Linked DNA regions of Canis lupus familiaris. The protein of the gene in region 2 binds, or shares a complex with, the protein of the main gene of each other region. Links are inferred from orthologs where the notes say so. Each region holds a gene or a part of one and is shown on either strand. Other genes may lie near its edges. The genes, in order: CAPNS1, CAPN2 and CAST.

Region 1 (7,633 bases), on a different chromosome or scaffold from region 2:
GGAAGAGCCCATGACTCTTGATCTCAGGGTCATGAGTTTGAACACCACATTGGGTGTAAAGATTACTAAATATTTTTTTAAAGATTTATTTATTTATTATGATAGAGAGAGAGGCAGAGACAGGAGGAGGGAGAAGCAGGCTCCATGCTGGGAGCCGGACACGGGACTCGATCCCGGGACTCCAGGATCGCGCCCTGGGCCAAAGGCAGGCGCGAAACCGCCGAGCCACCCAGGGATCCCCCTAAATATTTTTTAGTAAAATATAATTAAAAATCAATCGATAAGCATAACCATGGGGAATTATATTGAACTTCTCTAAACTATAAATTCCTCACCTGAAAATAGTAACTAACTCATTTATAAAATTCTTTTTTTGTGGGGGCAGCCCCGGTGGCCCAGGGGTTTAGCACCGCCTTCAGCCTAGGGTGTGATCCTGGAGACTGGGGATCGAGTCCCACATCAGGCTCCCTGCACAAAGTCTGCTTCTCCCTCTGCCTGTCTCTCTCTCTCTCAATGTCATGAATAAATAAAAAAAACCAAAATCTTAAAAAATATATATATTTTTTAAGATTTCATTCATGAGAGACACACAGAGGCAGAGACATAGACAGAGGGAGAAGCAGGCTCACTGCAGGGAACCCGATGTGGGACTTGATCCCAGGACCCTGGGATCATAATCCGAGCCAAAGGAAGATGCTCAACCACGGAGCCACCCAGGCACCCCTATAAAATTCTTAACAGCAGTCTAATTTCATGAAGGTCAGCACACGGGAAAAACAAGGGTATCTTGGAACCCTAAGGAAATAAGGTGATGATAGTAAAGACCTGCTGGATGGGACACCTCGGTGGTTCAGCAATTGAGTGTCTGCCTTCAGCCCAGGGCGTGATCCTGAAGTCCCAGGATCAAGTCCCGCAATGGGCTCCCTGCATGGAGCCTGCTTCTCCCTCTGCCTGTCTCTGCCTCTCTCTGTGTGTCTCTCATGAATAAATAAAAAAAAAAAAAAAAAAAAAAGACTTGCTGGGTTTGTGATACAAGCGGAATGAGATAAAGCCCTTAGCTCAGGGGCTAATATTTGACAAACTCTCAAAAACAATGATGGCCAAGACTTATCAAATTACCTAGTACATGCCAAGTAGTGCTAAGCTTCGCAGGAACGTCACTTTTCTCACTAAGTCCTTAAGACACCAGCCTCACCAGTATTATTCCCCAGTCAGAGAAAGAAACCAATTCAAAGATGAAACTCTACCTATGATCATAGTAGCAGCTAATGTGTACAACCACTTACGATGTGCTATGGCTATGCATTGTCCTAAATAAACCTTTTGCATGTAGCTCCAATTCAGTTTCACTATTATCATTCACTTCATTTTATAGACTGGCAAATTAAGGCACAGAGAGGCTCCATAACCTCACTAAACAGCACAGCCAAGCATGTAGAACTCTGTGCTACATATGTATGTGATCACATGACATATATAGGTGTCTACATTTCCCCTATGTGCTGAGCATGCATGTATCCAAGATCAATTAATGATTGGCCCATGTGCAAACATGCATGTGTGTTCCTGTGAACATGCCTTCACATATCTTCACCTATACAGTGTACCCTTGCATATATGTGCATCATGTATATAGGCATACCTATAGCAGTTATAAGCTTGGGTTCTTGGGGCACCTGGCTGGCTCAGTCAGTAGAGTGTGTGACACTTGATCTCTGATTGGGGAGTTCAAGCCCCACGTTGGGTGTAGTACTTATTTAGAAAAAGAAAGAAAAGAAAAAAAAAGAAAAGAAGGAAAGAAAGAAGAAAGAAGAAAGAAAGAAAGAAAGAAAGAAAGAGAAAGAAAGAAAGAAAGAAAGAAAGAAAGAAAGAAAGAAAGAAAGAAAGAAAGAAAGAAAGAAAGAAAGAAAATAAATAAGCTTGGGTTCTTGAGCCTAAAAGGCCTGAGTCCAAATTCCTACCCTGCCACTTACTTTGTAAGCGTAACCTTCAGACAAATGATTGCCTCTCTCTGAGTCTCAGTTTCTTGACCTACAAAATGGACTAAAACAATTCTGCCTATTTAACAGAACAGCTGTGAAATGCCAGCTGTGATAGCTGAGGTTACTATTTATCGCCACACGTCTGGGTGTGTGGTAGTGAGTGTGTGTTCTGATATATGTATGTCCACATTTGTGTGTATGAAAGCTACACCCTGGCTCTCCTAACCATGCTCTCACAAAACTCCTTCACCCAAGGCTTCAGTCAGATTGCCCCCAAGGATACATCCATCACGGCCACCATGCTGCGACATGTGTCAATGCCAAAACCATCAGTTTTCAGATCAGGATCTGTGGGGGACAGATTGAAAGTCAGAAGGCCAGAGGTCACAACTACCCCAGCAACCCATGACTCAAAACCTGTCCTATGTGTTGAGCCCAACAACTCACGTCTGGTTACGACCTTGTTGAGAATGTTCATGAGTTCTGTGGCACTGACTTCCATGTCCTGTGGGGAAAAGTCAGGGATGGTCACAAGGGAAGAATGTCATGAAGGAGAATGGGGATTCTTTGGGGATTGCCATTTTTGGGGGTGTGTGCAAGGGCAGCCCAAAGGAAGATGTGGAAGACTTAGGACAAAGATAGGGGCCCAGGGTTACTTACATCTCCAGCCAGCTGAGCAAAGAGCCTCCGGAACTGCCGGACCTCCTCGCTCTCATTGGCTTCAATGTTGGAGTAATGGGTGCGTGGAGGCTGCAGAGGGAAAAGATCTCAGAGCAAGTGGTGGAGGGGTGCCCGGGTCAGGACAGCCCTTGGTGGGAAAGTCGGAATGGGCTGAGTGGCTGGGTGATCAAAGAAATGAGAGATGGTCAGAAAGCAGGGAGTGGCTATAGCTAAGTTTGGGGACCTTGGCAAGGGAGAGATTTAATGAGTGGAATTTCATAAGGGGGACAAAGGGACAATGATGGGTGTGGAAAAAAGCCTGGGAGTGAGAAGCAGGGTCTCCGATTATAGAGGGTGGCTTACCGGAGGCTCTGGGTTGTACTGCGCAGCTGCCTCACTGAGGGGAGAGAGTTAGGGAGTTAGCGCCAGTGTGCGGAGCCTCCAAAGACGGTGCCCAACCCCTCAAACTCCAGCCCACCACCCTCCCCACCGGCTCCTTCTGCTCGCCTTAACGGTCCCTCTTTGCTGCCCTGGTTGCACCTGGCAGGAAACTCAGAGGCCCGCCCTACGGTAGGCCAGGGCCAGGCCAGGGCACACCTGCCCAGTGACAGATTCCTCAACAGATCACTTCATAGAAGCTCTGACCCAGCTTCCTGGGGCTCCATCCTCCTCAGGCCCCTTCTGTCTAGGAACCTGCTCCGTCCTGTGGCTTCCTGAACACCCGTGTTTCCCAACATCCCACCAGCTCCAGGAGTCCCCACCCCTTCGAGGGGGGCCACGGTTAATGAGGCCCCTGGTGACAACCCGCTCCACCTCGACCAGGTCGTACTTCTAGCCAGATCCACCTCCTTCAGGATCATCTCCCGCATCCCATTCGGCCTCGGCCTCTGCTGGGTCCAGCGCCTCACTGACCCGAGACCACGGCCACGCCGCGCCCGCAAGGCAGGCCTGGCCCCGGGAAGAGACGGCCGGGCTCAGCGGCTCCGCCCCCCTAACGTTCGTCTCCCGGCCGCCGGGAGGCAGGCCGCGCCCCCCCAAGCCCCACCTCCCCGAGCAGCGCCCGGCAGATCGCCCCTCAGCCGTCAGACTCCGCCCACGTCAAGCGCCGCCTCCTGAACTGCCAGCGGCCCCGCTACGGCCCGCGCCCTCCAGGCGGGTGGCCCAGCCTCGAAGACTGCAGGTCAGGCCCCAGGTTACCTCCATCTACTCAGGCGGGACATGCTCCTCCGCCGGGCCCCGCCCCTCAGGCCCCGCCTTACCTGATGGCACTAATGACCCCGCCCAGGATGCGCATGGCCGTTCCGCCCCCGCCGCCGCCGCCGCCGCCGCCGCCGCCTCCTCCGCCGCCGCCGCCGCCGCCGGCTCCGCTGATCAGGCCTCCGATCACATTCCCCAGGCCCCCGCCCAGGCCCCCGCCTCCCCCGCCGCCGCCGCCTCCTTTCAAGAACGAGTTAACCAGGAACATGGCTGCGATTTAAAATTCCTGGGGGGGGAAAGGGGGGGTCAAGGGGCCGCATCGCCACGGAGCCCGCTCCTTCCACACAAAAATACGCATTTCTGGCAGCCGGACTTGGGGAGTAACATGAGGCCTCAGGGCAGGGACTTATGCTCCGGCTCGGGCTTGACGGTGCATTTGGGATGGGGTCTGGGGTTCTGGGGGAGGGTAGTTTTCGGATGGGTGGGACAGGGACTGAGGATCGGGTTTGAAATCCCCTCTGGGTCCAAAGGATCTCCTTCTGGCTTGAGGGCCCCTGGACTGAGTCCATAGTGCATAGGCATCATCCAGGGTAAGGGTCCAGGTCTGGGGGCTTCTCCAGGTGGGGGCCCCAAGCTGGTGCAAGACATCTTTGACATGTCTAGGTACTCGAGTCAGATCGAGCCCCAGAGCTGGGTTTCGGGGTCTTGGGCGGGTCAGGGGCGCCGATCAGAGATTCTCCACTTGGAAGGCTCTGGGGCAGGGTTCAGGAAACCCAGAAATGTGAGCTTGAGGGTTTCGATACTCCCAGCAGCGGGTTACAATGTCGCCGCTGATTCTGCGGGCTCGGGTCTAAGACTGTGGGTGTGAATCCCGGGGCCTGGGATAACGGGGTGCCCATTAGAATTGGGAGAACGGATCTAAGGATCGTGGTTCTGGGGACCCTACCCTGAGCATAATTTGTAGGAGTACCTCTCAAATCCACGGGCTCGAACTTTAGATCCTGAGGCAGAGGGTGGAAGAGTCCCCGGCGGGGGAGGGGGGGATAACCTGGTGCCGGACATAACTGGGGCTTCCAGTCTGAGATCATGGGTCGGGGGGGGGGACCCCTGAGACCAGGGCTTAAGGGTGTTGGATATGGGGGCCGCAAGGACCGGGGTTACGGAGTACAGGGCTAATCCAGATCGGGCGCTCACCGCCTCGCTCACTCGTCCGTGGATCCGTTCGTCCGCGCTGCTCCCGGGCCTCCGGCCGCGTCCGGCTCCGCAGGGCGGGGCGGGTGACTCAGGCTGCGGGCGGGGCTGGGCTCTGCGGGCGGCCCGACCGGCCTCCGCGCGGTCCTAGAGCCGGCCTGAGCTGCGCCTGCGCGCGCCGGGCCCGCCTCCCGTGACCCCGAGCGGCCGCCGCGGCTCCGCCCCGCGCGTTTCCTGAGCTGTGGGTGCGGACCCCGCCCTGCGCTCCGAGATCCGAGGTCTTCCCGGTCCTTGAGGGCAGTGCGGTCGCCGTGCCCGGGATCCCCCCCTAGTGTTGCAGTGTGAATTCTGGCCCCACAGCGAGCCCCCGTGCGCCCCGCGGTGCCGTTTTCGGTCCGCTGGGAAGGGGACTTCGGGCCCGCGCCCCGGATCCTAGTCCTGTCGCCACAAAGCATTTGGAGACCCGGATGCTCGGCCCACAGCCCGGGGACCGGCGCCCGCATTTGGGGCAAGGGGCTAAGGCTGGACTAGCTTTCCCGGGGCCCTGCAGCAACCAGGTGGCGGTCAGACTGCAGGAAGGACTTCCCCGCCTACAAAAGTTGCCTGTGCCTCCTCCCCCCGCATCCTTTTACCCCGAGTCAGCGGCGCCAAGTGTCGCCTCCTCCTTCCCATCTCTAAAGAGGGGCCTGGGCACCCGAACAGTCAGTCTCTCTGGCCTGGTTTCTGAAGCTAGATGTCCCCAAGATCGGGCGGAGAAGTAGGGGGTGGGGAATGCAGAAGCTGGCAGGGCAAAGGGCGGCAGCGGAAGCCCCTCTGGGGAGCTCCGGCCTCCAAACTTCAGGGCTCCTCAGAGGGAGCTAATCTGGCTCCCAGGCCTTCTGGAAAGTCTGGCCCCCTTCGACTCTCCCCTGGAGGCTGACTTAGCTTGAGTCTGAACCCTGGCTCTGACATTTAATAACTGGGATCCTTTGGGCTCTGAGCAAGGCTGTTTTGTTTTGTTTCATTTCGTTTTAGCAAGGATTTATTCATCTGTAAAATGAGAAACAAAGGTTCCCATTCCCCCTCAGAATTGAGTGGTAAATAAGGTTAGTAAAGAGGAAACTGTGTGTGCCTGTACCCATGCTGCTGTTCCCTCCTCCTGTAGCCCACCTGGATTCCTCAGGTGGTTGACTGACCTACCCTTAGGTGATACTGATAAAAATAAGGGCCAGGCACTCTCCTGAGCACTTTACATATAACCTCACATGCCCTTGTAACAGCCCTATGGCGTGGATGTACACAGTATTTCCATTTTACAAGTAAACTGACTGAGGGTAAACTCCCTAGCCTGTAACCTTAACCACTACCCTAAAGCATTGACTTCAATAATATGATTAATTTTTCTTAAGATTTTATTTATTTATTCATGAGAATACACAGAGAGGAGAGAGAGAGAGGCAGAGACACAGGAAGAGGGAGAAGCAGGCTCCGTACAGGGAGCCCGACGTGGGACTCGATCCAGGGTCTCCAGGATCACGCCCTGGGTGGGCCAAAGGCGGTGCTAAACCGCTGAGCCACCCGGGCTGCCCAATATGATTAATATTGGCGCTCCTGACTAGCTGAGTTGGAAGAGCATGAAACTCTTGACCTCGGGGTCATGAGTTCAAGCCCGGCATTGGGTATAGGGATTACTAAAAGGAATAAACTTAAAATAATATAATTAATATGATAATAGCCTAGATAACAAGATCACATCAGACAAAACTGTAGTAGCAGCCAGGCCAGGGAATTGCTACACAAGCCTTGCCTATGAGGCAGGAATTTATAGGAGAGAAAAGTGGAGGCCAGGTGGGTCACTTGCCTAAGGTCACAGAGGATGGCAGAACCAGGTAGGAATCTGGGCCTGGCTGAAGTCAAAACTTGGTGACGACTAATCCAAATTCCCTTCTTACCACACCCTTCCCTACCACTCTGGAAAGCTTCCACTGCCTGCCCTCTCCAGGGCTCCCTGCCAGGCCTTTGCATGGGCCATGCCCTCAACCTGAAACACTCCCGCCTTTTTTACTTGGTGATGTAGGTACTCAGGTCGCTCAGGACTCACCTCTTCTAGGAAGCACTCCCTGTCTCCACCCCGACCTGAGACTGGGTGAGGCTTGCAGTTGCTGGCTTGCCACTTACACTCTCTCCTAACACGCTGCCACTCACTGGCATCTAGATCAGTCTCCCTGTCCTTTTAACCCTGGCCGGCTCCAGGTGTCAGGCCTTGGTCCTCCTCTGTATCCGCTCATGCCATAGAGGATCTCCCCCCACATTCGGGGTGTACAGTCCATCTCTAGGCTACTAAGATCCAAATTTCTGTCTTCAATCCAGACACCTCCAGGCTCCTACAAACTGCATTCTATTCACCTTCTCTGTAGGGGTCTTAGAAGTGTCTCAAACTTCACACATCCTAAACTGAGCTTCTAACTTCTCCCAAACCTGCTCCCTCCCCCCTTTCCCCATCTAGGTTGATGGCACCTCTGTCCTTCCAGTGACTGAGACTGCACAGCCCAGGATCATCCTGACCTCTCTTCCGCACCCGTGCCAACCCGTCAGGAAATGTTGACTCCACCAACACTGCCCCA
Region 2 (6,836 bases):
CCTCCAGCCGTGGAGCCCCGTCTCCAGCTCCCATCCATCTTGGTGAGCTTCCACTTCTTATAGGACTCGCTGGTGAGGGTGTCGGGGGTCAGGTTGCAAATCTCCACTCGGGAGTAGTGCCTCAGGAAGTCACTGAAAGACATCCTGGCCGAGGCAGGAACAAGGACGACCAGGTTACACGAGGACGCTGACAACGGTGACCTTCCCCCTGCAGCTGGGCCAGGAGCCACCCCCAGGCCCACAGGTAGAGGTGCAGATGCCCGGCCTGGCACCGCACTCGGGCGCTGTGCTGCTCAAAGCACTGAGCCAGGCAGCACAGACGCAGGTGGGCAGACACAGCCGCAGGCCCAGCCCTGTTCTCCAAGGGACTGTTTCTTTCCTGAGGTGTCAGGCCCACTCTGGGAGCTGGTTGGGGAAGGGCTCCTCCTCTCCAGTCTCCTCGTGGGACCTGAACCCTCCTGGGCCTTTGAAACCCCATCGTTGAGATGGACAAATGGGAGAGGCTGAGGAATAGTTTCATCGGGGTCTTCTGGGGAGTTTAGGACTACAGAAGCAGCTCCCACGCCCCTGTGCCCACGACCCAAGGACAGAGCCCTGGCCCTGCGGCCACTAACAACCTTACCAGAACTCCCCGTCCTCGTGCCGTCTGGTCAGCCTCTCCCTCACCTCTGGGTCCACCGTGTTCCAGTTGGGGCAGCTGAGAAACCAAGGGACAGGTGAGGACCGTCCCCACAGCCCCAGAGTGGGTACCCAGGGACATGCTCCCGAGCCTCCAAGGGCCAGACTCCACCGGGAGGAGTGACACGTATGCGGGCCGGAGCCGGGAAGCAGGGGGGTGAGGACAGGGAGCCCCCTGGGTGGTGGCGGCAGAAAGAGCGCAGCTGTCGGGGGAGAAGGGGTAGCACAGGCGGCCTACGCCCGGCCGCCCCTGTGAGGGGAACTGAGAGTCCCACGAGTGGCTGCCCTGGCTGGGAACCTCTCTGCACCTCCCACCCTGGGAAGGCCCGCCAGCAGGGGGACTGCACCAGGGAAGGCGTGGACTGTGAGGTGACGGATGGGTTGTGCGTCGCCGGAGCCCGGGGCTTGCAGGAGGACACACACACGCCCTAGTGGGGCAGGGAGGGGGACCTGCGGCCTCCGGGCCTGACCCCCCAGCGCAGCCCCCAGAACCTCCCAGGGGAGGGCATGCCGCTCACTTGTCATTCCACTTCCCGGTCCACTCCACTTCGCCCCAAGGGTTGCGGATGCGGATCAGCTTCTGCAGGCTGCCCCCACTTTCGACCTGAAGGTGGGGTGCAGGAAGGAGAGGGGAGCTGCTGAGCTCAAGCCCGGCCTGGGGGGGCTTCTCCATCAGCTGAGAGGGGTCGGGTCCGGGTCATGAAATGGGAAGGGCTGACCCCAGGCCCCCTGCCACTGCCAGTGTGGACCACTCCTTGGGTCCACTCTTGCAGGACGCAGCTCCTTGATTGGTCTCGAGCCTGCGGCAGCAGTGTCCTCATTCTCCTCATTCTAGATGCCATGGCATGGGGCCCCCAGCCTCCCGACTAGAGCGGGACCTGCTGTGGTCCCAGGGCGAGGGCACCTTCCCACCTGCGCAGGAATTCTGCAGATGCAGAGTGGTCACGCTGCCTAGACCTGGAGCCCTGGGCGGGCGCTACAGGGGACATGCTGTCGAGGTGGGAAGATGTGTGAACACGGGCTCTGCGTGAGATGCTGTCATGGGATGAAAACCTGACAACAGCACTGATGTCACATGAGAGCCTGGGAGGCGAATGTGGAAGTCTCGTGACGTATGTGCCTGACCTACCAACGGCTCAGAAAACAGACGTGCAGATACTGAGTCTACAGAAGCAGTACCTGGATGTTTTCTTTTTTAAAAAATATTCTTATTTATTTATTTGAGAGAGAGATAGTGAGAGAGAGAGAGCATGAGTGGGGAGGAGAGAGAGAAGCAGACTCCTTGCTAAGCAGGGAGCCCCCCATGGGACTCGATCCCATGACCTCAGGATCACGACCCGAGCCAAAGGCAGACGCCCAACCAACTGCGCCACCCAGGAGTCCCAGTACCTGGATGTTTATGATTGTTCTAGCCTTTCAACCTTTCCATTGACTTGAGCTTTTTCAAAATAAAAAGGTGTCCATGTCTTGGGTGTGGTGGGCTCGGGAATAAAATAAAAATTTAAGGTTTAAAACAGAACGGAGCCATGGACACGTCTGAAGACATGGGGTTCTGTACTCGCCCTGATGCCGGCTGCTGACTGGGGCGTGTGGCGTTACTGTGACACTGGGGAGCCGCGGCGCCTGCCACCACAGCTCCCTGCAGACATCACCCCTCTGACTGGAGGACACTCCAGGCCAGGGAGTTTGAGAAATGTGCCCAGGCCATGCAGCGGGCCAGAGGCGGCCAGACCGGAACAGGAATTCAGCACTGATGCTGCGGTGACATCAATCGCAAAAGCACCATTTTGAGAATCTAAAACACTATATGGATGCGATCCCTGTTCCTTTATATCTAGCCGGTCGGGAAGAGCAAGGCGAGTGTGAACGAAGCATAGGGAGCACGCCAGAGCTGGCCCGTGGCCCACAGAGGGCAGACATGGGGCGCAGCGGCCCTTGAATCGCTGGCCTCGCTCCCTTGGCTTCAGGAGTTCAAGGCCTGGTAGAGGAGGGGCCGTGGGAGTGCAGGACCCACTAAGCTGGGGGGCAGTCCTCTGCGGTGTTAGGGAGAAGACACCCCTGCAAACTCTGCCGGCCTTACCTCCTCGGCCCCAGTGACTGAGTACGCGTGCCCCTTCACCAGCTTCTGGAACGTGATGGCCTCTGAGTCTGCCATGCTGGTGATCTGGAAAGATGGGAAGAGTCAGGCTGCCCACCTTCTTTCATAGAGGGTCTCTGCTACTTGCGGGATGGGGTGCCACCCAACTCACGGATCACCTGATAAAGGCAATTATATCTTCACATTTACTAGACTGAATTTTGTTTTTTAGCAAGTTGGACAGAAATTTTGCCCGTGGAAGCTGGGGCCTCCCTCTCTGTCCCCACAGGGAATGAGTCCTGGGTAGCACAGGGTTGGGGTGGGGGTGGGATGCTCAGCCTCTGTCCAGAGGATGCCTGGGGGCAGGACGTGATGCACACCTCCCAGCTTCTGGAGGAAAGGGCCCCTCCCGAAGTCTTTCCCAGGGCCTTGGACCCTGCAGCAATGAAGGGTAAGGTACCTGGCTCCAGGCCCATGCAGGCCCTGTCCACAGGGACAAGTGTCTGCACAGGGTGTTTCCCCCAGACCAGCGGAGGACAAGGGGCTCCCTGGGCACTAGTGGAGGGCAGGGGGTTCCCGGGGGACCAGCCGAGGGCAGGAGCTTCCCTGGGGACCAGCCGAGGGAATGGGGTCCCAGGGCCTGAGGTCCAGGCTGGTGATGCACAGGAGGTGGGTGTCGGAAGTGGGCTGGGGCCACCTTCGCCCACCAGTTGTCCCCCAGACAGCCTGGAAGTTGCTGACCAGCCATGGGTTCCAGGTGAGGCACAGTGTAGTGGACCGGGACGGACGTGCCAGCTATAGCAGGTGGTGGGGCCTGGACTCACGTCTATGGAGCAGCCGAGGAGGGAGCCTTTCTGCAGAGCCTTCTGGATGATCCTGAACAGGTCAGGGGGGGCCTTCCTCAGCTCGTACCACTCCGCGATCCCCCCGGTAAAGTCCTCAAAGCCCTCAGTGGTGGCACCCCCCGAGAGTGCCTCGTAACAGCCGTTGATCCTGAGGGAGGACAGATCCTGCTGCCACTGCTGCTTCCCTTTACTGGATGCTCCAGGGACCGTCCACTCGGGATCCCCTCGGCTTGGGCTCCAGCAAATCTAGTCTTCCAGGTGGAAGGACCGGTGGTTATCTGGTCCGACCCCCCGTACTCATGGTTTGGACATCCTCGTAGCAAAGGGCAGGGCTGCTCATTGGCTGTTTGGCATCTAAAGCTTAAAGGACAACAACTCCACAACAAAAGCAATTCCAGGTGCACACGCACAGTGCTGCTCCTCCCACCCTCCTGCCCCACGGCGTCCCATGGCTTCTAGCGGTGCTGTTGAGGCAAGTGACTGAGAAGTGGCTCCCAGACCCCCGACTGTCACAGCTGGGGGGGCTGGCCCTCCTCCCCAGCAGTGGCTGCAAGGGCCAGGAGCCCTCTGGGTGCCGCAGAGTCTGGGCGGCACAGTCGGGATGAGGTCATGGGGTTCCCGCCCAGGGAGGTCATGGGAAACCACATCTCATTGCACACCGTAGATTCTGCACAAGCTTCCAGACTTCTACCTCTGCACTGGACGGTTCTGCCCAGTAGTAGAAACTCTGTGGTATTTAGCTGACAAAAATGTGATCTGACCTGCCAAGCACGTAGGGGTCCTTCTCAAGGCCAGTCTGCGCCACACCGGCTCCTGTGCGTGTGTCTACGCAGGGTGAGCACGATCACCCGTCCAGGCGCGATGCGGCCAGGCACCCCACCTGCATTCACTCCTTGAATCTAGAGCGCAATTCTGGAACAGGTAGTTCCTGACCACCACCCGTCTCTTCCAGAATGCAGGGCAGTTGGGGCAGGCTGCTGGAGGGAAGGGCACGCTCACGCTCACTCACTTGGCGTAGGCCTTCTCCAGCAGCGCGCTCCAGAACTCGCTGCCCTCTGCAGAGTGCACGAAGAGCAGCTCCCCGTTCTTGGTGGGCAGCCTGTCGTCCACCACCACCTCCACCCACTCACCGTACTGCCAGAACTGTGGGTCGGGGACAGAGACAGGACAGGGTGGCCCGGGGTGGGCTGCGGGAAGGGCCAGTGGGCGGGCTGCCGCCTGGGGATCCCAGCCTCAGAGGCACCGGCTCCTCCCTGCCCGGCCCCTGGCACCGTGAGCCCATCCCGGGAGGAGACCTCCCACCCTCCTCCTCCTGGCAAGTCCTCGCTGAGAAGCCCAGGGCAGAAGCTCCTGTCCACACTCGCCTCTCGGGCACCCTGCCTGCACCTCATGCTCTCAGGATAGGACTTCTCATTTACCAGCCTGAAGGGAGGACAGTGAGTGGTACCTCGCCATTGACTCAGACACCCCAGAACAGGCTTGAAACTTGGGAATTAACTCGAGTGCCTTGCACTACGTCCCTCCTTGCCTGTCTCAAGAGGCTCCCCACTGCTATTCCTGCAGGGTCTCCCCGTCAGGGACAGGGTCCCTGTCAGGAGCAGGCCAGAGAGCTTGCTGCAGCCTCTCCAGGTCCTCTGTAGGACAGCACGGTCCTAGGGGTTTGCAAACCCCAGGATCTGATAAACGTGGCTGAGCCAGGGAACCTGTTCCTAGCTTCTAGGATCTATTCTAGCTCCTCCCGCCGGGACCTGTCCTCAGCTGCCCCCCCAGGACCTGTGCTCAGCTCCCCCATCCCGGGACCTGTCCTCAGTTCCCCCCACAGGACCCATCCTCAGCTCCCACCCTGGGATCCATCCTTAGCTCCCCCACCCTGGGACCCGTCCTCAGCTCCCCACCCCGGGACCCGTCCTTAGCGGCCCCCTGACCCATCCTCTGCACTCCCCCGGGACCCGTCCTCAGCATCCTCCAGACCTATCCTCAGCACCCCCCACCGACCCGCCCTCAGCACCCCCAGGACCCATCCTCAGCAATCCCCCTGACCCATCCTCAGAACCCCACCAGACCCATCCTCAGCAACACCCCCAGCCCGTCCTCAGCTCCCCCCCACCGGGACCCAACCTCAGAACCCCCCAGGACCTGTCTTAGTCCCCCAGGACCCACTGGGGAGAAGTGTGTGCCAACATTAACTCACCTGGAAGTGGAAGATCCCTGCATAGTTTTCCTGGAAGCTCTGGTTCGGGGGCACAACACGAGCCAGGACCTCTTCGTTCAAGGTCAGGGAGGCAATGGCTGCCAGCAGCCAGCAGTCACCTGTGGACACAGCACAGAGCTCTGAGCAGGGGGCTCAGTGCCAGGAGGATGCTGGTGCTGGACACCTCGTCCTGCCTCCAGGAGCTTGAAGCTGTGGACAAGCCACCAGGGGACAGGCAGGTTGGAGGGTTTGGGTGACCCAGACGGAGGCAGGAGAACTCACTCTTGGAAAGACCTGTGACAGTCATGCTGTCCTCCCAGCTCAGCCACGGAGGGCACGGCAGGGGCCTCTGAAATGATGAGGGACACTTCTGGAGCACGGGTGGAGGTGGGGAGCGGTCGGCAGGGAGGAGGGCGTAGGGGCAGGGGAAGGCGGGCCAGCAGGTCCCACACAGGGTGTCCTGCATGTCCCTGAGTGGGTGGGAGCAGGTTCCAGGGTCAGAGAAGTGCATTGTCGAGCTGCTCCCCTGGGCAAGAGCACATGGATGGTCACTTCTGAGGTATGGGAGGGCACCGCACAAGGGGCACAAGAACAAGGACAGTCAGACGGGCCCCCCGCAGCCGCAGTGCCCCCTGTGGCACACAGGACCACGCGGTCACGGCAGCACGGCAGCAGGCAAAGCTCTGATGTGCCTGCGGCTCCGGCAGCAGGTGCTCAGCACGCAAGCACCGCGACCCTGTTGCACGGTTAGAAGCGAGCCGTGGGCAGCAACAGTGTGCCGTGGGGGGCTCGCATTTACCTCCCAAGGCCACCGATGGAGGCTCCGGGGGAGGCTGAGGAAATCTAGTTTGTGCTAAAGGAGTGAGCACCCTCCTACCACTTCCCAAGGCGGTAACAGGAAACAGCCTTGGATGAGTTCATGTGCATCGCTGGATTTACGTTTACTGAGGGACGGGCCTCTTGCAGGTGCTACTGAAGGTCACGGAGCTCTTTTCTCTTCTGGTCCACCCCTTGGTGTCCTGATGATTCCTAAACGGGACTGTCC
Region 3 (7,492 bases), on a different chromosome or scaffold from region 2:
ATGCCTACCTCAGAATCTCAAATTGTCACCCAGGTTTCCATCCCCAGCAAGCGGTGCCATTTTTTAAAAAGCGCTTGGAGAATATAATTTACTCTCTGGGAATTGCCAAACTGATGAAAGAACAATATCATCAGATGTTACTCCTGATTTAAAAATCTTATCTGCAATGGGAAGCAAACCAGTTTAGAAACTGTCATCCAAAAGAGGAAAGTTGTGTCCGACCTCCATTCTCCCAAATATTCAAAGTCTATGTGCTTTTTGCAAATTCTATAATTTGCATTCCTTACTCCTAAAAGTCATTGCAGCCAAGTAGTCTGTCCTGCCATGGAAGGCTTGTGACACTCTTCCCAGGATGGCCACAATGATGGGGCCTCCCAAATGACTGGGCTCCTTGATCATGCTGCCACTGGGCCCATGGGTCTAATTAGGCTAAGAAACACCTTTAATTAACAGGGCCTAATCGAGTCAACTTATGACTCAGGAATGTGATTACTGATGTCAACTGAATTTATTCTCTTTCATGCTTCATCATTATGATGCTCACTGGATGTTCTTCAGATCTAGCTTTTTAAAGTTGTTTTTTTCTCCCTACAACCACATAATTCTTTGGAAGATAAGATTGATAATATTGATAGTATTCAGTGTGGAAATATACACTGTACTGTGTTTCACTGACTGGCTTTATAGGTAGCACTCCCTTAAACAAATATCATAGATACACCTTTTAATTATTTTATCTTATTCTGCCTAGATTTTTAAAGTGAGGTCGTTCACAATCTTTTTCAGTATTTAAAGGGTCCTAGTAAAGATAATTAAATTATAGGGTGTATCAGAACCATTATGTATACATATATGCATGATATATATATGATATATATGATAAAAATACATATATATTATATATAAATCGTACATTTATATATAATTATTCTATAGTAGTATATACCATCATATTATATTATACAGTATATAACACTATATAATTACATTATATTACAGAGTATATATTATATAATTAAATTATATATCGTATTATTGTATATTACAATTTATATTATATATATGTGAAATATATGTGTTATAAATTGGCTCTGTGGACCTTTAGAGGATTTATGGGTGAGCTTTTGTGTATTTGTTTGTGTATTTTGCTAAGGGAAAATGGTCTATAGCTTTCATTTAATTCTCAGAACAGTCTGTAATCACTCCCTCATAGCCAACAGACAAAAATGGTTAGGAGCCATGCATGTCTAGAGCTATATCTTCCAATACTATAGCCCTTAGCCACTCATGCCTTTTGACTTGAAATGTAGCCAAGTATGAATCAATTTAAGTATAAAATGAACACTGGAGTTTGACGAATTAATATAAAAAAGATCTAAGGTACCTCAACAGTTTGTACCTTGATTATATGTTGAAATAATGTTTGGGATAGAGTGGGTTAAGTAAAATATATTATTATCATGAATTTCACCTGTATTTGCTTTTGTTAATGTGGCTACTAGGAAATTTTAAATTACATATGTGACACACCACATTTCTTTCAGATGACATTGGTTTGGGAAGAATCAAAGCTGATCACAGACAATTTGCTGATCCTGAGAGGCAAAAAAATTTTATGGTAGTTCCCAAATTGGAATATAAGAGAGATCTTAGCAAAATGACAGACGATGCCTAAACATAACAAAGTTAAAAGCACTGTTTTAAACTACTTCAAATATTCCAGCATTTCCTTGAGGGAATTTCCTTTAGGGAATCATGAATTTGGAAAGAGAAGTCTGATGTCACCTCTGAAACACTGCCATCCATATTTGCAGATAATTCCTGTGGTGCACTTTGATAAGAACCTTGGGACAATAATGACTCAAAGCAAACTTTTGCTTTCAGCACATAAATAAGATGCTATGTTTTAAAAGCCCAGAAAATGTAATGGGAAACAATTACAAAGAAATATCTTTAGGGAAACTGTAATTCCCAATCATTAAAAGTCTATGGGTACGGTGGGTACTTTGATCCATGAATCTAATCGGTCCTCACAACCCTTACGTGGTGCCTATTATGACCTTCATTTTACAGATTTGGAAACAGGTTCAGAAATGTTGACTCATTGCCCTTTGAGAAAAAGAACTATTATCTTATTCTCCACTGTGTACTTAGAGGCTAGGACCAGACTTGGCACATAGTAGGTGTTCAGTGAATGGCCACTGGCTTATCAGTGACAGTTTACTGATTTCCATACAAGGTTTCTCTCTAAAGCGTGTCTAATTAGAATAACCTTGCTTTTCCCAATACCACATGCTGAGAAAGACGTGTACTTAAAACTAAGTTTTTCAAATTCACACATCAATCAATGGGATAGAAATATTTTGATTCTCACCTACCAACACATCATTCGTGTATTTTTATTTTATTTTTTTTGTGTGTGGAAAAAAAAGTACAGAATCGCTCTAACTCTCACCGTCTCATTCTCAACAAAGCTCTTGATCTCGGTTGCTACTGCTCCTTGGAGTGTTGGGTTTTCTCTTGCCCCCCCATTCTCCTCCTCTGTGTTGGAAAATGCATGTCCAAGGACATTTCTCTAAAAGTTTCGAGCTTTGCACACAAGTTAAAAACGCTAGGTCTAGGCTCTTGCGAGCTGAGTTCATTCGGGAATCCGCATCCAGGGGCGGAATTCCTCCCGGAACTATTCCTGTCCCATTCAGCTCGAGAGCAAGCAGGGCCTCCTGCATCTCTGCTCACACGGACTCGCACGCCCGGGCGCGCTGGTGCATACCACAGCAGGGTGAGTCTCGGCCTCTCCCGGAGCCCAACCTGAAGTCCCGGGAAGAGGTCGCATGTGGTCCCCACCCCTTCCCAGCCCCAGTCCGGACAGCACTCATCCATCCGCACTCCCGGAAAGGCAGAGCAATCATCCCCTTCCCGTTCCTGCCCAGGCACGATCGCTCGCGTTTACCGTCTTGTACCACCAGCTTGCGAATGCCATGGCCACAGTCGGTGGGCTCGGAGCCGCGCGTGGCGGAGGGCTCGGCGAGGACGCGGGGTGCGGGGCGGCCGGCGCGGGGCTCCCACTTCGCCTGCCTGGGAGCTGGCGGGCTCTGCGCTCGGGACGCCCGCAGCCAGCAGGAGGCACGACACCTGGGCGCACCCGGAGCGGCCCCGCCCCGCAGACCCCGCCCCCGCAGGCCCCGCCCCGCCCGGAGCCGCGGGAGGCTGGCTAGGGTAGGGGTGTTATTTCACGGGGAAGCCCCGCCCCCACACCCGCCCCGCCCCCCCGCAGGCCCCGCCCCTCAGGCCCCGCCCCGCCCGGTGCCGCGGGAAGCTGGTTAGGGTAGCTGTGTTAGTTCTCGGGTAGCCCCGCCCCCGCAGGCCCCGCCCCCTCAGGCCCCGCCCCGCCCGGTGCCGCGGGAAGCTGGTTAGGGTAGCTGTTAGTTCTCGGGTAGCCCCGCCCCCGCAGGCCCCGCCCCCTCAGGCCCCGCCCCGCCCGGTGCCGCGGGAAGCTGGTTAGGGTAGGGGTGTTAGTTCTCGGGGAAGCCCCGCCCCCCCACAGGCCCCGCCCCCACACCCGCCCCGCCCCCCCCGCAGGCCCCGCCCCTCAGGCCCCGCACCGCCCGGTACCGCGGGAGGCTGGCTAGGGTAGCTGTGCTAGTTCTCGGGGAAGCCCCGCCCCCCGCAGGCCCCGCCCCCACACCCGCCCCGCCCCCCCCGCAGGCCCCGCCCCTCAGGCCCCGCACCGCCCGGTGCCGCGGGAAGCTGGTTAGGGTAGGGGTGTTAGTTCTCGGGGAAGCCCCGCCCCCGCAGGCCCCGCCCCCCGCAGGCCCCGCCCCCTCAGGCCCCGCCCAGCCCGGAGCCGCGGGAGGCTGGCTAGGGTAGCTGTGCTAGTTCTCGGGGAAGCCCCGCCCCCCGCAGGCCCCGCCCCCGCAGACCCCGCCCCGCCCGGTGCGGCGCGAGGCTGGCTAGGGTAGGGGTGTTATTCCTCGGGCAGCCCCGCCCCGCCCCGCCCGGCGCGGCGCGAGGCTGGCTAGGGTGGCTGTGTTATTCCTCGGGGCAGCCCCGCCCTGCAGCCCCGGCTTTAAGCGGAAGAGGGGATTCCGCGCTCGTTAAACTCCCCCCACTCCGGGGGCCTCGAAGGAACTCCCGCCCCCAGCCCTCTCTTCCCTCGCCCGCCTCTCCCCACCCAACTTTCCCCGACGCGGCCCGGCCCCCTGTGGAGCTCGCGCCTCGCCGGGCGCACTGGGCCGGGCCCGAGGGACCCCTGGTCACCTCCGGCCCCTGCCCGGCGGCGAGCCTGAGCCCCGCGCCCTTCCCGGCCCCGAGGGCGCCCGGGCCAGGCGGCCGCGCGGGTCACGCCCCGAGGAGGCGGCCCAGGGCCCCGGGGCTCGGATCCCCTCCCCCCAGCGCGGCCCTGCGGCTCCCGGAGGGGCGCCACTCACCTCCTGGGTGTCGCGGGCGGCGGCAGCGCGCCGGGGCCTCGGGGAGGCAGCGGGCTTCTGGCCCGGCTGAGACATGGCGAGGCCGCGGGATCGCTGCCTCCGGGAGGGCGCCGCGGGGCCGCGAAGGGAGGCCCGGGCGGGGCTGCTCTGCGAGCGAGCGAGCGAGCGAGCGAGGGAGGGAGGGAGGGAGGGGGCGGAGGGGCCGGCGGGCGCGCCCGTGAGGCAGCTTTTCCGACCCAGCCCCGAGCCCGCGCGGGGGCTCCCCCTTGCCCGGCCGGGTCCTCCCCTTCCTGCCGGCTGCTGGCTGCGGCCCCAGCTCCAGCGCCCCGGGGCTGAAGCCGAACACCCTCGGCCCCGTGGTCTTCGCCCCGAGGTCCTCCCCGCCTCCCAGGACTCGGGGCTCCCCGAGGTCGCAGGGAGGAGGGGCTGCAGGTCTCAGGGTTCCTCCTTCGACTTGCCCGGACTCAGCTTTCAGTTGTGCAACGGGAGAGCGGGACCCGGGCGTGGCCCGGCTGCGCCTCGACCCTTCTCCTTAAACAGGTCTCCAGAATTTTTGTTTTAAAGATTTTACTTATTTATGAGAAACACAGAGAGGGGGGGGGGGGGCAGGCAGAGACACAGGCAGAGGGAGAAGCAGGCTCCACGCAGGGAGCCCGACGTGGGGCTCGATCCCACGACTCTAGGATCACGCCCTGGGCCGAAGGCAGACGCTCAACCGCTGAGCCACCCAGGCGTCCCTATCTCCAGAATTAAACACCTTTCCTGCAATCTGTCCGGGTTTAGTTTGGAGAAGAATTTACCAACTCAAATCTGGCCCAAGCCTGGACCGTCTAGATAAGGAAGCGGATCACAAAAAAACAAATGGGTCTGTGCATTTGTTTGTCTGGATGTGTCTGTTTGTGTAGGTGTGTACGCTCTCCTGTGTGTATTTTCTGGCATCTCACTTGGAGGGGTTTTTTTTTGGGGGGGGGGGGCGGGAGGGCGCAATGTTGAAAGTTTTAAAACGTTTTATGGGGGTAGGAAGCCGTAGGTTCCAATTCAAACCAAAGAATAGTCCCAAATTAAAACCCCTGTAGCGTTTCTGGAGCCTGGCCGGTTTTGTTTCCGAGGCCAAAGTGTTTTTAGTCTTTGACTCATCTTAAACAGCACTTCCTGGTTTAGGCCTGGAAGTGAAGTATAACAAGCTTGTCTAGAAAATGCTCATCTGCTGAGACTGTCACCCTTCCATTCTGTGGTTTGTGATCAGACCCGACAGAAAAAAGAACCCGTTTCCCTGGGGTGGCATGGACACTTAGGACCCGAGGGTGACCACTCTCTGCAGTGTTATGTTTTAGACATTTGCTGAGAGAGAAGCCAGGTTGTAGGAAAAGAGTAGTCATGCTGTATTTAGGGATTTTTGTCTTCATTTACAGACTAGCAGCATTCCTGATGGGGGGAGCAGTGAGGAGTGCTGAAAATGGATTTCCTTTTTAAAAGTTTTGCTTATTATCTATGTAACTAGCATTTCCAGCACACAGGCTACGGTGTGAGAATTTACCCATAAAAATGAAATGACTTGGATAAGGGATCTATCATTGTCCATTCAAGAAAAATTGATTGGTGGCATGAATTACACTCATAATTGGAGGAAATATGTCATAAGCCTGAAAAAAAAAATGACTTAAGAATGCAACCAAACACCTACAGTAATTTAAATAAGCACACAAACTACAGGGCCCAGGTGATAGGCAGCCCCATCTCTAGGCCCAGGAACCAGAAACACATCCATACTAAAGATCCTAGAGGACCTAGGTTCAGGCTTTAGATCCCTGACACATTATTCTGAGTCTGGAAGAAGAATGGTTTGTTGATTAAAATTTGAGGTGTTTTCTAAGGGGTATTTAAAATTGAACTTAAACCAGTTAGTGTTATATTCTTTGAAAGTCTTTCATCATGTAAAGCATTGTGAAAGAAATTGATATACGGATAAAAATGCATATTTCCTGCACTCCAAGGACTTAGAGGTTAGCTGGAGTCATGTGGCATTTGTAACACATCATTTGGGTGACAATGAGGCAGGTATGAGTAAGTACAAATGTGTTTTGGGAGTTTGGGGTTCTGTGGGGCTTAGTGCTTTTAGGAAGGTAAAAGAAGCTTGAGTGGGCAGGCTGGCTGGTGGGATGTGGACAGGGGTAGAAAGGGTGGGGGCAGTTCAGGAAATATTAAAAAAGCCTACCCATCTGGTTGGAGCTGCTGGTGCAAGTTTAGAAGTAATCGATCCATTTGCCAACTTACTATTTACCAAGCAGCTGCCATGCCAGGTGATATAATTGATATCAAAATCTATAAGAGATAATGACATTAGCCTTCAGGCTTTGCTTAAGGGTTGGAACTCCATAAGCAGATCAGTTATGGGCTAAACTATGCATTGATGATGATGAGTAAAGAAGAATTACAAATAAGTTGAAGAAGAAAGAGGGCAGTGTTTTCACTTTCTCTTGTAGTCAGTGAGGAATTCGAACTTTGATACCATGACCAGCAGTTGAACACCTTAGAGAAGGTCATTTTAAATATATATGGCACCTTTGTTTTATTTTTATTTGCACATTCCTTCATTTACTCAGTAACAGGATGACTGCATTGTGTCAGGCTCTGTGGAGGTACCGGGGGCCTGAAAGTCTAGGAGGAAAGACAGACAAATTCACCACCACATGACCATGGACGAAGGGTAAGGGCTGGCAGAGATATTCCAAGAGCACTACAGGATCCTGAGGGACCTCTCACTCTGACCGTGATGGGCTGGCTGGGGAGACGGGGAGCTCAAGGGCTCCTTCCTCCTGCCATGTTTGACTTGACTGAGTTGTAACCTCCTCCACATGACCTCCACCTTGTATCTTCTCTTCATCCCCCCTGTTGCAGGAGCTGTTCAGGAGCTCATCACTTCTCATCAGGAAACATGTAAACTGAGAAAAAGAAAGACAGGATGGAAACTGGAGAAAAAGCCAGTGGAACCTGAGAAGGAGCTACGGGGGGCGGGGGGGGGGGGGGGTAGGAGGAAGCTAGGAAGGAAGTAGGTACCAGAGGCC

The links.
Region 1: the proteins of CAPN2 (region 2) and CAPNS1 are in contact, whole or in part, in a crystal structure (PDB 1KFU), measured with the Homo sapiens proteins. The link is inferred for Canis lupus familiaris from reciprocal best matches to the Homo sapiens genes CAPN2 and CAPNS1. Residues at the interface, in NP_001739.3 of Homo sapiens: Ala2, Gly3, Ile4, Ala5, Lys7, Leu8, Ala9, Arg12, Glu13, Glu16, Phe60, Arg366, Arg416, Arg417, Arg418, Arg420, Asp494, Ile516, Phe551, Glu575, Lys578, Val581, Asp582, Asp585, Gly588, Ser589, Gly590, Gln641, Leu642, Gln644; in NP_001003962.1 of Homo sapiens: Thr85, His86, Ser88, Asp111, Asp112, Met113, Glu114, Ser116, Thr118, Asp142, Arg145, Ser146, Ala149, Val150, Met151, Asp152, Ser153, Asp154, Thr155, Thr156, Gly157, Gly160, Phe161, Glu163, Asn206, His208, Leu209, Met212, Ile213, Arg215.
Region 3: the proteins of CAPN2 (region 2) and CAST are in contact, whole or in part, in a crystal structure (PDB 3BOW), measured with the Rattus norvegicus proteins. The link is inferred for Canis lupus familiaris from reciprocal best matches to the Homo sapiens genes CAPN2 and CAST. Residues at the interface, in NP_058812.1 of Rattus norvegicus: Glu62, Leu63, Ser68, Lys69, Gln99, Gly100, Ala101, Leu102, Gly103, Trp106, Lys161, Asp162, Leu165, Leu166, His169, Ser196, Gly197, Gly198, Thr200, Ser241, Asp243, Ile244, Thr245, Asp249, Ser250, Glu251, Ala252, Val253, Val259, Lys260; in NP_445747.2 of Rattus norvegicus: Glu571, Leu572, Asp573, Ala575, Leu576, Asp577, Glu578, Leu579, Ser580, Ser582, Leu583, Gly584, Gln585, Arg586, Gln587, Pro588, Leu596, Asp597, Asp598, Lys599, Val600, Lys601, Glu602, Lys603, Ile604, Lys605, Ala606, Glu607, His608, Ser609.

The regions. Positions count from the first base shown.
Region 1 is NC_049222.1:117,397,823-117,405,455, forward strand, and holds the start of CAPNS1 (calpain small subunit 1), read right to left. Parts: upstream 5,106-7,633; 5' UTR 5,034-5,105; intron 4,126-5,033; 5' UTR 4,108-4,125; coding exon 3,902-4,107; intron 3,884-3,901; exon of another isoform or gene 3,863-3,883; coding exon of another isoform or gene 3,840-3,862; intron 3,823-3,839; exon of another isoform or gene 3,688-3,822; intron 3,553-3,687; exon of another isoform or gene 3,472-3,552; intron 3,040-3,471; coding exon 3,006-3,039; intron 2,733-3,005; coding exon 2,643-2,732; intron 2,488-2,642; coding exon 2,430-2,487; intron 2,331-2,429; coding exon 2,266-2,330; intron 1-2,265. UniProt on the Homo sapiens protein: Regulatory subunit of the calcium-regulated non-lysosomal thiol-protease which catalyzes limited proteolysis of substrates involved in cytoskeletal remodeling and signal transduction. Essential for embryonic development.
Region 2 is NC_049228.1:40,298,052-40,304,887, forward strand, and holds part of CAPN2 (calpain-2 catalytic subunit), read right to left. Parts: intron 5,911-6,836; coding exon 5,792-5,910; intron 4,744-5,791; coding exon 4,610-4,743; intron 3,749-4,609; coding exon 3,580-3,748; intron 2,843-3,579; coding exon 2,759-2,842; intron 1,283-2,758; coding exon 1,197-1,282; intron 698-1,196; coding exon 623-697; intron 145-622; coding exon 1-144. UniProt on the Homo sapiens protein: Calcium-regulated non-lysosomal thiol-protease which catalyzes limited proteolysis of substrates involved in cytoskeletal remodeling and signal transduction. Proteolytically cleaves MYOC at 'Arg-226'.
Region 3 is NC_049224.1:13,065,836-13,073,327, forward strand, and holds the start of CAST (calpastatin), read right to left. Parts: upstream 4,582-7,492; 5' UTR 4,503-4,581; coding exon 4,428-4,502; intron 3,109-4,427; exon of another isoform or gene 2,981-3,108; coding exon of another isoform or gene 2,951-2,980; intron 1-2,950.